Linked DNA regions of Saccharomyces cerevisiae S288C. The gene in region 1 interacts genetically with each later gene. Each region holds a gene or a part of one and is shown in the gene's direction. Other genes may lie near its edges.

Region 1 (3,957 bases):
CTAGTCGTTAAAATTTCCCAACTATATGATATTGCCAGAACTTCAGGTCGCCCAATCAAGGGAGACTCATCTGCTGGTGGGAAGCAACAAAATTTCGTTAGACAGACAACAAAGTATTGGGTTCACCCTGATAACATTACAGAATTGAAGCTGATCATCTTGAAGCATTTACCAGTGTTAGTCTTCAACACTAATAAGGAATTCGAAAGAGAAGATTCCGCTATTACTTCGATCTATTTTGATAATGAAAATCTAGACCTTTATTATGGCAGATTAAGAAAAGATGAAGGTGCAGAAGCCCACAGATTGAGATGGTATGGGGGTATGTCTACAGACACGATCTTTGTAGAAAGAAAGACCCATAGAGAGGATTGGACTGGTGAGAAATCTGTCAAGGCAAGATTTGCGCTAAAGGAACGTCATGTTAATGACTTCTTAAAGGGTAAATATACTGTTGATCAAGTATTTGCCAAGATGCGTAAAGAAGGCAAGAAGCCAATGAACGAAATTGAAAACTTGGAGGCGTTAGCATCCGAAATTCAATACGTCATGTTAAAGAAAAAGTTGAGACCTGTAGTGAGATCATTCTACAATAGAACTGCTTTTCAATTACCTGGTGATGCAAGAGTTCGTATCTCCCTTGATACAGAGTTAACTATGGTGAGAGAAGACAACTTTGATGGTGTGGATAGAACTCATAAGAATTGGAGGAGAACTGATATTGGTGTCGATTGGCCATTCAAGCAGCTAGATGACAAGGATATTTGCCGTTTCCCATATGCAGTCCTGGAAGTTAAATTGCAAACTCAACTAGGTCAAGAACCTCCAGAGTGGGTACGTGAATTAGTCGGGTCTCACTTAGTTGAGCCAGTCCCAAAATTCTCCAAGTTTATTCATGGTGTGGCTACCTTACTAAATGATAAAGTGGATTCAATCCCATTTTGGTTACCTCAAATGGATGTTGATATCAGGAAACCTCCACTACCAACAAATATTGAAATAACAAGACCCGGTAGATCCGATAACGAAGATAACGACTTCGATGAGGATGATGAGGATGACGCTGCTTTGGTTGCTGCCATGACAAACGCACCCGGTAATTCTCTTGATATAGAAGAATCTGTTGGTTACGGGGCTACTTCGGCCCCCACCTCCAACACTAATCATGTTGTTGAGAGTGCTAATGCTGCTTATTATCAAAGAAAGATCAGGAATGCCGAAAATCCTATCTCCAAGAAATACTATGAAATCGTGGCATTTTTTGACCACTATTTTAACGGTGATCAAATATCTAAAATCCCAAAAGGTACTACTTTTGATACTCAAATTCGTGCCCCACCGGGAAAGACGATATGTGTGCCAGTTCGTGTGGAACCAAAAGTTTACTTTGCCACTGAAAGAACCTACCTGTCTTGGTTGTCCATCTCGATATTGTTGGGCGGTGTCTCCACTACTTTATTAACATATGGTTCACCAACAGCCATGATTGGCTCCATTGGGTTCTTTATTACTTCCTTGGCTGTGTTGATACGTACTGTTATGGTTTATGCCAAGAGAGTGGTAAACATTAGACTAAAGAGAGCAGTAGATTATGAGGATAAGATCGGGCCCGGCATGGTTTCTGTGTTTCTAATTCTCTCTATTTTATTTTCCTTTTTCTGCAACCTAGTTGCTAAATGAATACACAGCGTGTTTTTTTTACTGTATAATTAAGTAATAATCATATTAGATATAATAATTTCTTTAGCGCCATTTTTTTATATATGAGAACTACCCTCTTGCCTGAAATGCACACCTTCACCAGGCGCACACTGGTTCAAAAATAGTAAACAAAATCATGCGAAAATACAATAAAAGACGTTAACTTGATAGAATGAAAGCGTACGCAAAGAAACGTATCTCTTACATGCCATCGTCACCATCACAAAATGTTATTAACTTTGAAGAAATCGAAACTCAAAAAGAAAACATTCTTCCCCTGAAGGAAGGCAGATCAGCAGCGGCACTCTCGAAAGCGATACATCAACCACTGGTGGAAATAAACCAAGTTAAATCAAGCTTCGAACAAAGACTGATAGATGAGCTCCCTGCATTAAGCGACCCAATTACTTTGTATCTTGAATACATAAAGTGGCTGAACAACGCCTATCCACAAGGCGGTAATTCCAAACAATCTGGAATGCTCACCCTTTTGGAGCGATGTTTATCTCACTTAAAGGATTTGGAGAGATATCGCAATGATGTTAGGTTTCTTAAAATATGGTTTTGGTACATAGAACTTTTTACCAGAAATTCATTCATGGAAAGCAGAGACATTTTCATGTATATGTTAAGAAATGGAATTGGTTCCGAGTTAGCGTCATTTTATGAAGAATTTACGAATCTATTAATTCAGAAAGAAAAATTTCAATATGCCGTGAAAATTCTACAGCTAGGAATCAAAAATAAGGCTAGGCCTAATAAGGTTTTAGAAGACCGGTTAAACCATCTCCTGAGAGAACTGGGGGAGAACAATATTCAGCTAGGAAATGAAATATCGATGGACTCATTAGAGTCTACAGTACTTGGGAAAACCAGATCTGAATTTGTCAATAGACTAGAGCTTGCAAATCAAAATGGCACATCAAGTGACGTCAATTTAACAAAAAACAACGTATTTGTAGATGGAGAAGAGTCTGATGTAGAACTATTCGAAACTCCGAATAGAGGTGTTTATAGAGATGGCTGGGAAAATTTTGACTTAAAGGCAGAAAGGAACAAAGAAAACAACCTTCGAATATCATTGCTAGAAGCAAATACCAATTTGGGTGAGCTTAAACAACATGAGATGTTATCGCAAAAAAAGAGACCATATGATGAAAAACTACCGATCTTTAGAGATTCTATAGGTAGAAGTGACCCTGTTTATCAAATGATTAATACAAAGGACCAGAAACCAGAAAAAATTGACTGTAATTTTAAACTGATTTATTGTGAAGATGAGGAATCTAAAGGTGGTAGACTAGAATTTTCGCTAGAAGAAGTCTTGGCAATTTCTAGAAACGTTTATAAAAGGGTTAGGACAAATAGGAAACATCCAAGAGAAGCAAATTTAGGGCAAGAAGAAAGCGCAAATCAAAAAGAAGCTGAAGCACAATCGAAAAGACCAAAAATAAGTAGAAAAGCCTTAGTCTCCAAGTCGTTGACCCCCTCAAACCAGGGAAGAATGTTTTCTGGCGAAGAGTACATAAACTGCCCTATGACGCCAAAGGGACGAAGCACTGAGACGTCTGATATCATCTCAGCTGTCAAGCCGCGGCAGTTAACCCCAATTTTAGAAATGAGAGAATCAAATTCTTTTTCTCAAAGCAAAAATTCTGAGATCATTTCAGATGATGACAAGTCGAGTTCGTCTTTCATATCGTACCCACCACAGCGTTGAAATAAAACTAATCCCATGAATGAGTAAGTATACTGGCCAATCGTAAACACATCGACGGCCGACTTTTTTATTTAAAGCACAGATGATATAATGATTATTTAACGAATGATACTTCTATATTAAATCCTATGAGGAGTAATATAAATATAAAAAGGCCAATTTTAAAATGAACGTTTGTCCGATTAACGCTTATGACATACTGTAGGGATGACAAAATTATAGTGAGGACTTTAATTCTATATAAATACATTACAATAGTATAAAAAAACAAAAAAATGTGAAGAAACACCAAATATTAAACGGCAGTAATGAAGTTTAACCTCGAGGCTATTATTCTTGTTTTCTTACACCACTAACAATATCATCAACCCTTAATAGTAAACATGCACTTTCAATAGCGGTTTTGACACTTTGCTGCTTGATGACTTCAGGTTCCCAAATACCGTAACTAACCATATCTACAATTTTCCCCTTGTCACCATCAATACCTGTTGTAAAATTTCCCTGTGCGTGTTTGGCTCTTAGTTGGGATAGGA
Region 2 (5,900 bases), on another chromosome or scaffold:
TAGGCCTGAATTGAGGATTGATTTCACAGTGGAGACCAATTTTTTCGCATCTGGAGCAAGGATGAGGGAAATTTTGACTAGCATCGCATTTGATTTTGTGCTGTCTACAATGTGTACATGAGGTAACTGGTCTATGGTTGATTTGATGACTGTCATCATGGTGAGATATTCGTTGTTTCTTACTTGGGAACTGGTGCTGTTGCAACTGTTGCTGCTCCGGTTGTCTTTTCATGTGAGCAGAACTAAAATCTTGGTCTTGGTCAGAATCTCGATTATCCTTCACCATGACGAGAATGCGTATACGCAGAGCCAATATAATCTGTATACGGGACCTTTGACATTAAGGTTTCTGCAGAGAGTTTATTACATGCATTTTCATATATATATTTTTAACGCCATTCCTTTACGGTATGTAAAGAAAAATGATCCAATGAGCGGCCCTTCGTACGAGATGAGATATAATAAGAATGAAAGATAGATAAAAGTTTTAGTTAGAGATACTTCATATACCTGTATATAGTAAAGTCGTTTATTTCAAAGCTTATTTCGACTTGGTGAATCTTAAATAGGGTTTAATTTCATTAAATTGACCAAATTTAGCCTTCGCCTCATCATTGGAGACAGAGGGAGGAATAATGACATCGTCAGCTGGCTGCCAATTAATTGGAGTTACTACGCCCTCCTTGTCAGTCAATTGCAAGGCGTCGATTACCCTTAACACTTCAGAAGTGTTTCTTCCGACGGTGGAAGGGTAGGTAAAAATCAGTCTAATCTTCTTCTTGGGATCGATGACGAAAACAGACCTCACGGTCTTCAGTGACCCATCATTGATATTTTTGAATCCTTCGGCATCTACCATATCATATAGGAATGCCACGTTTCTAAAAGTGTCACCAATTATTGGGAAACCAACATTTTTAACCTTTGCTATTTCCTTGATGTCTTGAATCCATTTTTCGTGGGACTCAACATCTTCCACTGAAAGCCCGATCAATTTAACATTTCTCTTGTCGAATTCCGGCTTCAATTTGGCGAATGCGCTGACTTCGGTGGTGCAGACAGGGGTGAAATCTGCTGGGTGAGAAAACAAGACCCCCCAAGAGTCGCCCAAGTAGTCGTAAAAATTGATTTTACCAACCGTTGTGTCAGCATCAAAGTTAGGAGCATCAGAGTTTATTCTTAGTCTTGGTTGATCACTTTGTTTGAATTGTTTGCACAGAATAGGTGCTGTGGCAAATGTTTTAATCGTCTGTGATTGCAAGTGAGCCTGCTTAGGAAGGGTCCATGCCGTCCTCTTTAATTGAGCGCTACAAATTCTACTAAACATCCTTTGCTTCCTGCTTCTTTGAAATTTATCTCATCCTACTGCGAGAATCTAGAAGCACAATTTTCTATATCTCTCCTTCTCTCTTTATATACCAATAGCAGCAACATCCGGCCCCTTGTTTCTTTACGTAATTAAAAATCTCCGGGGCTAGCTTTTGCCGGGGAACCCATCCCGAAAAAATTGCAAAAAAAAAAATAGCCGCCGACCGTTGGTCGCTATTCACGGAATGATAGAAAAATAGCCGCGCTGCTCGTCCTGGGTGACCTTTTGTATATTGTATAAAGATAAACATAGTGCTATCAGGAATATCTTTATATACACACGCATACTGAATGTGGTTGAAGTTCAAAAAATATCACAAACGTTAAGAAGTTTTACTGGTAAACATATAGACATAGTGGAGCGCTTGCTCGAGGTCAAATGCAGACGGATACGAGAGCGCGGGAGGGAAACCGGAGAAGGTCAATATGCCCATAATTCTTCTTCTTTGAGGTTGGCAATTATATATTGTATCTGAATTAGGCAAATAGAAAAGAGACCTTACCATTAGCGCCATCGTAGAGTCCCATTTCACCTTTTCTTAGTTCTTTATATATGTCTGCGTATGGCCCACATATGCGCGCACAGTGCGCGCCACCCTCTAAGAACGATAAACATAAAATAAACACATAAACAATCAACGACAGTTCGCGCTTCCCTCACTAAATATGGCGAGATAGTTAAACAATCATGGCTCGTTCTTCCTTGCCCAACCGCCGCACCGCCCAGTTCGAAGCGAACAAGAGGAGGACCATTGCACATGCTCCATCTCCAAGTCTTTCAAATGGGATGCACACTCTAACGCCGCCCACCTGTAACAATGGTGCTGCCACTTCAGACTCCAATATACATGTATATGTAAGGTGCAGATCGCGTAATAAGCGAGAAATAGAGGAAAAAAGTAGTGTAGTTATATCTACACTAGGCCCACAAGGGAAAGAAATCATTCTGTCCAACGGTTCTCACCAATCGTATTCGTCCTCGAAGAAAACTTACCAATTTGATCAGGTGTTCGGCGCAGAATCTGACCAGGAAACAGTGTTTAATGCCACTGCAAAAAACTACATTAAGGAAATGTTGCACGGGTACAATTGTACAATATTTGCATACGGTCAAACGGGAACAGGTAAAACCTACACTATGTCTGGCGATATAAATATTCTCGGTGATGTGCAATCTACCGATAATCTATTATTAGGAGAGCATGCAGGTATCATACCACGGGTTCTGGTCGATTTGTTTAAAGAATTGAGCTCCTTAAATAAAGAGTACTCCGTAAAAATATCCTTTTTAGAGTTGTACAATGAAAATTTGAAAGATCTGCTCTCTGATAGTGAGGACGATGATCCTGCAGTCAACGATCCCAAGAGGCAGATTCGTATTTTTGACAATAACAACAATAATTCATCCATCATGGTCAAGGGGATGCAGGAAATCTTTATTAACTCTGCACACGAAGGCTTGAATTTGCTAATGCAGGGTTCGTTAAAAAGGAAAGTGGCCGCTACTAAATGCAACGATCTTTCATCAAGGTCTCACACCGTCTTTACAATCACAACAAACATAGTTGAGCAAGATAGCAAAGACCATGGACAAAACAAAAATTTTGTTAAAATTGGCAAATTGAATTTGGTGGATTTGGCAGGCAGTGAAAACATCAACAGATCGGGTGCGGAGAATAAAAGGGCTCAAGAAGCTGGCCTAATAAACAAATCGCTGCTAACACTAGGCCGTGTTATCAACGCACTCGTTGATCATTCTAACCATATACCTTACAGAGAATCTAAGCTAACAAGATTGCTACAAGACTCTTTAGGTGGTATGACGAAAACATGCATTATCGCAACTATATCACCTGCGAAAATATCCATGGAAGAGACTGCAAGTACGCTAGAATATGCAACGAGAGCCAAATCAATTAAGAATACTCCACAAGTAAATCAGTCTTTATCGAAGGATACATGTCTCAAAGACTACATTCAAGAGATTGAAAAATTAAGAAATGATTTGAAAAATTCAAGAAACAAACAAGGTATATTTATAACTCAAGATCAGTTGGACCTTTACGAGAGCAATTCTATCTTGATTGATGAGCAAAATCTAAAAATACATAACCTGCGAGAACAAATTAAAAAATTCAAAGAAAACTACCTGAACCAATTAGATATCAATAATCTTTTACAGTCTGAAAAGGAAAAACTAATTGCCATAATACAGAATTTTAATGTCGATTTTTCTAACTTTTACTCGGAAATCCAAAAAATTCACCATACTAATCTCGAACTAATGAATGAAGTCATACAACAGAGAGATTTTTCACTAGAAAATTCTCAAAAACAGTATAATACGAACCAGAACATGCAATTAAAAATCTCTCAACAAGTTTTACAGACTTTGAACACTTTACAGGGCTCTTTAAATAATTATAACTCTAAATGTTCCGAAGTTATCAAAGGCGTCACCGAAGAACTAACCAGGAACGTAAATACCCATAAGGCGAAACACGATTCTACTCTCAAATCGTTATTAAACATTACTACTAACTTATTGATGAATCAGATGAACGAACTGGTGCGTAGTATTTCGACTTCATTGGAAATATTTCAGAGTGATTCTACTTCTCACTATCGTAAAGATTTGAATGAAATCTACCAATCACATCAACAATTTCTAAAAAATTTACAAAACGATATTAAAAGCTGTCTTGATTCGATAGGCAGTTCAATTCTAACTTCCATAAACGAAATATCGCAAAATTGCACCACTAACTTGAATAGTATGAATGTTTTAATAGAAAACCAGCAGTCAGGATCATCGAAATTAATTAAAGAGCAAGATTTAGAAATAAAAAAACTGAAAAACGATCTGATCAATGAGCGCAGGATTTCTAACCAATTCAACCAACAGTTGGCTGAAATGAAGCGATATTTTCAGGATCACGTTTCCAGGACGCGTAGTGAATTCCACGACGAACTTAACAAATGTATCGATAACCTAAAAGATAAACAATCTAAGTTGGATCAAGATATCTGGCAGAAGACGGCCTCTATTTTCAACGAAACAGATATCGTAGTTAATAAAATTCATTCCGACTCAATAGCATCCCTCGCTCATAATGCTGAAAACACTTTGAAAACGGTTTCTCAGAACAATGAAAGCTTTACTAACGATTTAATCAGTCTATCACGCGGAATGAACATGGACATATCCTCCAAACTGAGAAGTTTGCCCATCAATGAATTTTTAAACAAGATATCACAAACCATTTGTGAAACCTGTGGCGATGATAACACAATCGCATCAAATCCAGTATTGACCTCTATTAAAAAATTTCAAAATATAATTTGTTCAGACATTGCCCTAACAAATGAGAAGATCATGTCATTAATAGATGAAATACAATCACAAATTGAAACCATATCTAATGAAAACAATATCAATTTGATTGCAATAAATGAAAATTTTAATTCTTTGTGCAATTTTATATTAACTGATTACGATGAGAATATTATGCAAATCTCAAAAACACAAGATGAGGTGCTTTCTGAACATTGCGAGAAGCTACAATCACTGAAAATACTGGGTATGGACATTTTCACTGCTCACAGCATAGAAAAACCCCTTCATGAGCATACAAGACCTGAAGCGTCAGTAATCAAGGCTTTACCCTTATTGGATTATCCAAAACAATTTCAGATTTATAGGGATGCTGAAAATAAGAGCAAAGACGACACATCTAATTCTCGTACTTGTATACCAAACTTGTCAACTAATGAAAATTTTCCTCTTTCACAATTCAGTCCAAAAACCCCAGTGCCAGTGCCTGATCAACCTCTACCAAAAGTTCTTATACCGAAAAGCATAAACTCGGCCAAGTCCAATAGATCAAAGACCTTACCAAATACAGAGGGTACTGGACGAGAATCGCAGAACAATTTGAAGAGAAGATTTACCACCGAGCCAATATTGAAGGGAGAAGAAACTGAAAATAATGACATACTGCAAAATAAAAAACTTCATCAATAAGGGGATATAGCCATTGTAAAATATTTGTATCACTATATGCATTGAGTGTAAACTGTTGCACCTATAAAGAATGAAAACAATCTAGTATGTGTACTTACATAATTACACAGTCTTTTTTTTTTTTACCTTGTTTATCCTTCTTGTTCTTCAAGCTTGTAGGTTTTTTTGACTCAGTTTTTACTGCAGGAAAATCTTTACGAATCATGTTTGAACTGCCCATATTTGATAAACTAACTTCTTGCTTTGCTGCCATCGACTGCTCAGCAACTTCCCTTGACATTCCCTTTGCTGAGGAAGAACTTTTCCTGATGCTTGTATCAGAACCCGTTTTAATACCATTTCTATTCGTGTTTGAATTCATGTTAATTTGCAAACCTTGTGGCTCACGATCACGTTTTGGATTTCCAGTAAAGAATGTTTCAGATTTTGAAGAAACTCTTGAATTTGACCCTACGTTACTTGTTTGACTGTCCACAGTAGAGAATAAATTCAAAGTACTGATACTTTT
Region 3 (4,126 bases), on another chromosome or scaffold:
TCCAGGCGTTTTCAGGCACTGTATATTGGTACTATATCGCTATGTATTTGACAGTCATTATCAACGGATACCCTTCTTGAAAATTTTTCAGATGGGATGACATGTGAAAAGTGTAACAATCGAGAACTGTAAACAGCATGGGGGAGCATTCATCAATATTGTTATTTAGTGTAAGCCAGATTGTGAAGACGCACTTCTTGCCAAGTATCTTCCCAAACAGCGAACCTGTCATACTTAACTGTTCCACTTCCATATACCTAAAATGTCTGACAACCCTGAGATGAAACCACATGGTACGAGCAAGGAGATTGTGGAGTCGGTTACTGACGCCACCTCAAAGGCGATTGATAAATTGCAAGAAGAACTCCACAAGGACGCCAGCGAATCCGTCACGCCGGTGACCAAGGAAAGCACTGCTGCTACAAAGGAAAGCAGGAAATACAACTTTTTCATTAGAACAGTTTGGACGTTTGTTATGATCAGTGGTTTCTTCATCACCTTAGCATCGGGTCATGCATGGTGTATAGTGCTGATTTTGGGCTGCCAAATTGCTACTTTTAAAGAGTGTATTGCCGTAACAAGTGCATCTGGTCGCGAAAAGAATTTGCCATTGACAAAGACGTTGAACTGGTACCTTCTCTTCACCACTATCTATTACTTAGATGGGAAATCACTCTTCAAGTTTTTCCAAGCTACTTTTTACGAGTATCCTGTATTGAACTTTATCGTAACAAATCATAAGTTTATCTGCTATTGTCTCTATCTTATGGGATTTGTTCTGTTCGTTTGTAGTTTAAGAAAGGGATTTTTGAAATTCCAGTTCGGATCATTGTGCGTTACTCATATGGTTCTTCTTCTGGTAGTATTTCAGGCTCATTTGATCATCAAAAACGTGCTCAATGGGCTATTCTGGTTCTTATTACCATGCGGGTTGGTAATTGTTAATGATATCTTCGCCTACCTGTGCGGCATTACATTCGGTAAGACTAAACTAATAGAAATCTCGCCCAAGAAAACTTTAGAAGGTTTCCTTGGTGCCTGGTTTTTCACTGCTCTAGCTAGTATTATATTAACAAGGATTCTGAGCCCTTATACTTACTTGACGTGCCCTGTTGAAGATCTCCATACCAATTTTTTCTCTAATTTGACATGTGAACTAAACCCAGTTTTCCTTCCACAAGTTTACAGACTTCCACCCATCTTTTTCGATAAAGTTCAAATCAATTCAATTACAGTAAAACCAATTTATTTCCATGCTTTAAACTTAGCTACCTTTGCATCATTATTTGCGCCATTTGGAGGCTTTTTCGCATCTGGTCTAAAGAGAACTTTTAAAGTTAAAGACTTTGGCCACTCCATCCCAGGCCATGGTGGTATCACAGACAGGGTTGATTGCCAATTCATAATGGGTTCTTTTGCCAATTTGTACTATGAAACATTCATCAGCGAACACAGAATAACAGTAGATACAGTTTTATCCACTATTTTAATGAACCTGAACGACAAGCAGATTATAGAATTGATTGATATCTTGATTAGATTCCTATCTAAAAAAGGTATAATATCAGCGAAGAATTTTGAAAAGTTGGCTGACATCTTTAATGTGACCAAGAAATCATTGACCAATCACTCTTGAATATAAAAAAGACCATATAAAAGTATATATGAGTGTATGAATAGTTTTTTTTTTTCAAACTTATGCACGCTATACTACTCTTTCCCTATTTAGTTTATGTAAATTATAAAATATGATATCAATTCTTTAACAAAATTTCTCGCTCGTTTTTATACTTATGACTATATGTAGGAAAATAAACGTGTTGCTCTGTCATGTTACTTCTAAAATATTGAGAGGAGAAAAAAAAAAAAAAAAAAAAAATTATAAACAAATGAAAAAAGGACGTACTGACTAATAGTAAGTAGATCTTTTACCTGGAAGGTGCCCTATGATAAGATTTTTCATCAACCAATCTAGCTGAGCATACTGTTGGCAGTAATTAGGATGATTTTCTCACTAGATGAAGAACTTCATCGTGTGTCACTAGATGATAAAAAGAATGACATTAAAGTAGATTATTCCTCGGCAATATACAATGATATCAATCATGAACAAGGCAGCTCCATCACATATGAGGAGAGTATAAATCACCTCTCGGTTCATTCAAATGCGATTCCGCTAAATGGCATGAGTCCTGCACATAGGATGAGAAGAAGGTCCTCAGCTTATTCCAAATTCCCTATTCTCACTCCACCAAATACGAGAAGATTTTCTATTACAGGTTCGGACGCAATGCGAACTAATACGAATAGACTATCCATAACACCTCAGGACATTATTTCCTCTAATATTGGAGAAAATGAATTATCAAGGAACCTGCACGATTTTAAGCCCGTGAGAGTCCTAGGCCAAGGTGCCTACGGTAAAGTTCTTCTTGTTAAGGACGTCAATACATCCAAGCTGTATGCTATGAAGCAATTACGGAAAGCAGAAATTTTAATTTCTCAAACAGCCACAGATTCCAAGAGAGAAGACGAAGATAAAAATGATGGTAATAACAACGATAATGACGATGGATTATCAAAGAGGCTTGAGAGAACATTTGCCGAACGGTCTATTCTATCTGAAATAGAACATCCAAACATTGTCAAGTTATTTTATTCTTTTCACGATAACTCAAAGTTATATTTACTGCTACAATATATCCCTGGCGGTGAACTATTTTACCACTTGAAGGAACACGGGACCCTAGATGAGACGACAGTTTCGTTTTACGCGGCAGAAATCAGCTGTGCCTTGAGATTTTTGCATACGAAAGGTGTTGTCTATAGAGATTTAAAACCTGAAAACTGTTTATTGAATCAACGTGGACATTTAGTATTGACAGATTTTGGTCTGAGTAAAAAAAGTGCTAATGATTCCGCGGTTGATGAGGAGGATCCAGAGAACGTCAATGCCCTATACTCGATTATCGGTACGCCTGAATACTGTGCGCCTGAAATATTATTAGGTAAAGCTTACAGTCAGAATTGTGATTGGTATTCTTTGGGATGTCTGTTGTATGACATGTTAGTAGGTAAGCCTCCATATACTGGTAGCAATCATAAGGTGATCATTAATAAGATTCAACAAAACAAGCAAGGCCCCAAAATTCCATTTTATCTGAGCGAGGGAATGAAAGATATATTAAACGCGCTGTTGAAGAAGGAAACTGCCAAAAGGTGGAATGTTGACAAATACTGGGCCAAAACCGGGGCTAATAATAAGCCTACTAAGTCTAAGAAGAAGAAATCAGGGGCTGCAAGAACTAGTCTTTTCACTGAACATTTTATCTTTAGAAAAATAGACTGGAAGTTATTAGAATCTGGACAATTGCAAAAAACCACTCTAGGCCCAATTGTTCCAGTTATTACGGATTTGGAACTAGCGGAAAATTTTGACACAGAATTTACTTCTATGTCATATGAGGAAACCTATACGGATAGCAAGCCGATTAATATCAATTCGGTGAGCAAGTCCCCGGATATGTTCAAGGGATTTAGTTATAAAGCAAGTGGTAGCTATTTGGAGAAGTACTTTTGAATTAAAAGTTAGATAGATTAAGAGAGAAGGCTCGGATCTGCACTGACTTACTTTTTTTTGTTTTTTTGATGTTTAAAGGATCTGTGTCACTGTATATACTTTGTTTTGCTTTAGGGTTACGAAACACATTTTTAATATATAATGTATGTAATAATATTAAAAACAACTGTATGGATAATACTTCTGGACCAATCGGTGATACCATCTTCCTTATTTATGGTATTATTATCATTATTGGACCCCGCCGGTGCTTTTTTTTTTACCTTAAAAGAGTGGTTCTCCTCCAAGGGACGCACGAGTGGTGTACCCAGGGGTTGTTTCCATGGCTAAAGAAATTGGAGATTACAAACGTACATTGTCATTTAAGAAGGTTCATAATCTGCCAATTACATTTGATATAACAAGATGCTTCCCACATTCAAACGTTACATGTCGTCCTCAGCTCATCAGATTCCCAAGCACTTCAAATCGCTCATCTATTCAACTCATGAAGTTGAGGATTGTACCAAGGTTTTGTCAGTGAAAAATTATACGCCTAAACAAGAC
Region 4 (3,849 bases), on another chromosome or scaffold:
GCTGCAAACCCGTCAAGCAACCTAAATACATTTTTATCGGGTATTCTTCAACTATTGTACCGCTCTTTACTGTCAATTGCATCTGCCGTACTTTTCATTTACTTCTTATGTGCTCGTTCTACTATACTTTTAAAGGCGTCACAAAAATTATGTAAAGCCTCGCGACGATCATGTAGGAAAAAAAAAAAAAAGACAATACCAGCTAATAATTATCGATTAATAACGAAATACAAGAACAGTCGTTTAGTTTAGAGTATCATCAAGGGCTTTTGCACGAAATAAAAATATGAGAATATCAATATTACAGCTGGTGCCGGTTGTTGGCTACATCGGATTTGCACTGGGAGAATTATACAAACCCAAAAACTCCATTTCTTGTTCTCCAAATAACCCTTGTCCCGCAGAATGGCCGTGCTGCTCGCCGTATAATGAATGTGGCGCTGGACCGATATGTGTCGGTGGCTGCAACGTGAGGTCATCTTTCGACGAGGAAAGCTGTGCTCCTATACCTGCATTAGTCGCCAGTCAAAAACTTGAATTTGTTAGCACACCAAAGGTTCCTAAATTTATTGTGAACTATCAACCTAAGCCACCAATAAGAGAGGGAAATGGACCGAATAAGGCAAATACCAAGGTGGGTGTAGTAGAAGGGGAGCTAAATTCCAAGAGAATCATACACTACGCCAAATTCTTGGTCACTCCAGACAGTAAAGAGGCAGAGAAAATGTTGGAAGATTTCGATTTCACACATAGCGGCTACACATCAATTGAAGCGAGTAGCGGGAATATTGTTCTGGCTATGCCAAAAAAAACTACCGGAAGTTTGATCACATCGACCAGGTCGTTTCTATACGGCAAGGCAAGCGTGCGAATGAAAACGGCGAGGTCGAGGGGTGTGGTGACTGCATTTGACTTAACATCCGCAATTGGGGACGAGATTGATTTTGAGTGGCTGGGTGGTGATTTAATGACGGCCCAATCAAACTACTATTCTCAAGGGCATTTGGATTACACAAGAATGCAAAGATTTCCCGTAGGCGCTGACACTTGGGCCACTTACCACACTTATGAGATTGATTGGGACCCGGATAGGATAATATGGTATGTTGATGGTAAAATAGCTCGCACAGTCCTGAAGAAGGATACCTGGGACCCCATTAGTAAAGAATATAGGTACCCACAAACGCCGATGAGACTAGAAATCGCTGTTTGGCCAGGCGGCTCGGAAACCAACGGACCCGGTACAATAAACTGGGCAGGTGGCCTCATAGATTGGGAAAATTCACCCGATATTATCGAAAAGGGCCAATTTACGGCGCATGTTGAACAAATCACCGTAACGCCGTACCAAAATAAATTCACAGAACAAGTGCAGTTTTGTATAAAGGCAAAGAAAAAGGCACCAACCTTTTCCCAAAAAGATTTGTCAAGAGTAGTCGTTTCGTATAACAGGCAAGACAGACTGAATCATCATGATGAGGGGTCTCTCAAATGGGACTGCTTTGTTACTCCAAAGATAAATGACTGGTTGAGTTCTTGGAAACGGTCAAAATAGTCACAGCAATAATGTCTTACGAAGTTCTCTCTTCCGTAACGGATCCTCTAATTCCCTGCATGAAGGCACGCTCTAATATATATGTATACATTCTTTAGTTCAAACCTTTCAAGAAACACAAAATGCACCTATTTTCCGCATTGCAATTATTACTAATTTCCTAAAGCAAATATTTACTATTCTCCCATTATAACGTTCTCTCTTTGTTACCCTGACATTCAGAAAATATCACCGGGTAACAGAACGCGTTAATATTATCTTTTGGGAAATTTCATTAAATGTAATAAATAATAATCGTAACAGTAGCTGCGAAATGAACAAATGCGTAATATCGGTTAGTCACATGTATAAGAATTCAACATATAACTATCTATGGGTGGAGAAATTATTACTTTGCAAGCAGGTCAATGCGGGAACCACGTTGGTAAGTTTCTCTGGTCTCAATTGGCGAAAGAACACGCTATAGGCACCGATGGGCTATCTCAGCTTCCTGATTCCAGTACGGAAAGAGATGATGACACAAAGCCTTTCTTCCGCGAAAACAGTAGGAATAAGTTTACGCCAAGGGCTATTATGATGGATTCCGAGCCTAGTGTCATCGCCGACGTGGAGAACACATTTCGTGGGTTTTTCGACCCAAGAAATACCTGGGTAGCTTCTGATGGCGCTAGCGCTGGTAATTCTTGGGCCAATGGGTATGATATAGGAACTCGTAACCAGGATGATATTCTTAACAAGATCGACAAGGAGATTGATTCTACCGACAATTTCGAAGGTTTCCAGTTGCTGCACTCAGTAGCCGGAGGGACCGGTTCAGGGCTCGGATCCAACCTCTTAGAAGCGCTGTGTGATCGATATCCTAAAAAAATACTCACGACATATTCTGTGTTCCCTGCAAGATCTTCTGAGGTTGTTGTTCAATCTTATAACACTATTCTGGCTTTGAGAAGACTGATAGAAGATAGCGATGCAACGGTGGTGTTTGATAACGCTTCGTTGCTGAATATTTCCGGTAAAGTGTTTAGAAATCCGAACATCGATTTACAACACACGAATCAATTGATATCGACCATAATATCTTCAGTAACGAACAGTATACGGTTTCCGAGTTACATGTATTCATCCATGTCCAGTATTTACTCTACCTTGATTCCTTCTCCTGAACTTCATTTCCTAAGCCCTAGTTTCACTCCATTTACATCAGATTATATTCACGATGATATAGCGCATAAAGGCCATTCCAGTTATGACGTCATGTTAGATTTATTAGACCCTTCCAATTCTCTTGTCTCTACCGCGATGAACAATCCAACATATTTTAACGTTTATAATACAATCATTGGTAATGTAGAACCTCGTCAGATATCGCGTGCTATGACCAAATTACAACAACGCATCAAATTCCCCTCATGGTCCTCTTCTGCGATGCACGTTAACATTGGAAGAAGATCGCCATACTTGCCTTTACAACCAAATGAAAACGAAGTTAGCGGCATGATGTTAAGCAATATGTCTACCGTGGTGAACGTCTTTGAGAATGCGTGCAATACTTTTGACAAAGTATTTGCCAAGGGCGCATTTTTAAATAATTATAATGTAGGCGACTTGTTCCAATCAATGCAGAACGTTCAAGATGAATTCGCCGAGTCAAGAGAAGTAGTACAAAGCCTGATGGAGGATTATGTAGCTGCAGAACAAGATTCGTACTTGGACGATGTACTTGTTGATGATGAAAATATGGTTGGCGAGTTGGAAGAGGACCTGGATGCCGACGGTGATCATAAATTAGTATAATGATGCCTTCCTTGTTCAGGAATTTTACCACCGCCCAATAGTTTTATTATAGTACTCTCAATATATCTATACCAACAACCGCTTCAAATGTATTATCTCCCTTTATAAATTCTGCACTGTATTGTAATATGTATAAAGCTCTGTACCACTTTTTCATCATTGCATACATCGATAGCGCCTCTTCAACTTTAGAATTTCCTAAAGGGTAGAAAAACCAGATGATTCAACTCAGCGTAATGGAACGCTCTGTTTGAAATAAAAAACATCTGTATCGCTGCACGGATTAGTTCGATAATTCAACGACAGTTATACTAATCTTGGTGATGGAATGAGTACTTTAGCGGAAGTAAGTTTTTGAATTATGCCCCCACTTTTTTTTTGTTCATGGTGACTAACATGAATTAGGTTTATACTATTATTGAGGACGCCGAACAGGAATGTCGAAAAGGAGATTTTACAAATGCAAAAGCGAAGTATCAAGAAGCCATTGAAGTTTTAGG

The links.
Region 2: of MAD3 (region 1) and KIP1, changing one suppresses a phenotype caused by changing the other (phenotypic suppression), as found in Saccharomyces cerevisiae (one study listed by BioGRID).
Region 3: mutations in MAD3 (region 1) and YPK3 together harm fitness more than expected from each alone (negative genetic interaction), as found in Saccharomyces cerevisiae (2 studies listed by BioGRID).
Region 4: mutations in MAD3 (region 1) and TUB4 impair growth when combined (synthetic growth defect), as found in Saccharomyces cerevisiae (2 studies listed by BioGRID, with this or other methods).

What each region holds. Positions count from the first base shown.
Region 1 is NC_001142.9:408,957-412,913, reverse strand, and holds MAD3 (Mad3p), read left to right. Parts: upstream 1-1,873; coding exon 1,874-3,421; downstream 3,422-3,957. Other genes in the region: VTC4 (Vtc4p), read left to right, coding at 1-1,680; chaperonin-containing T-complex subunit CCT3, read right to left, coding at 3,752-3,957.
Region 2 is NC_001134.8:99,830-105,729, forward strand, and holds KIP1 (Kip1p), read left to right. Parts: upstream 1-2,056; coding exon 2,057-5,392; downstream 5,393-5,900. Other genes in the region: SEF1 (Sef1p), read right to left, coding at 1-286; thioredoxin peroxidase PRX1, read right to left, coding at 542-1,327; SKT5 (Skt5p), read right to left, coding at 5,487-5,900. UniProt on the Saccharomyces cerevisiae protein: Required for assembly of the mitotic spindle. Interacts with spindle microtubules to produce an outwardly directed force acting upon the poles. Following spindle assembly, CIN8 and KIP1 apparently act to oppose a force that draws separated poles back together.
Region 3 is NC_001134.8:293,879-298,004, reverse strand, and holds YPK3 (putative protein kinase YPK3), read left to right. Parts: upstream 1-2,002; coding exon 2,003-3,580; downstream 3,581-4,126. Other genes in the region: CDS1 (phosphatidate cytidylyltransferase), read left to right, coding at 263-1,636; YBR027C (uncharacterized protein), read left to right, coding at 3,649-3,981; ETR1 (enoyl-[acyl-carrier-protein] reductase), read left to right, coding at 3,986-4,126. UniProt on the Saccharomyces cerevisiae protein: AGC kinase which plays a role in TOR complex 1 (TORC1) signaling pathway which mediates temporal control of cell growth in response to nutrients. Required for phosphorylation of ribosomal protein S6 (RPS6A/RPS6B) at 'Ser-232' and 'Ser-233'.
Region 4 is NC_001144.5:564,360-568,208, reverse strand, and holds TUB4 (gamma-tubulin), read left to right. Parts: upstream 1-1,927; coding exon 1,928-3,349; downstream 3,350-3,849. Other genes in the region: CRR1 (putative glycosylase), read left to right, coding at 287-1,555; ATG38 (Atg38p), read left to right, coding at 3,678-3,695, 3,755-3,849. UniProt on the Saccharomyces cerevisiae protein: Tubulin is the major constituent of microtubules. The gamma chain is found at microtubule organizing centers (MTOC) such as the spindle poles or the centrosome, suggesting that it is involved in the minus-end nucleation of microtubule assembly.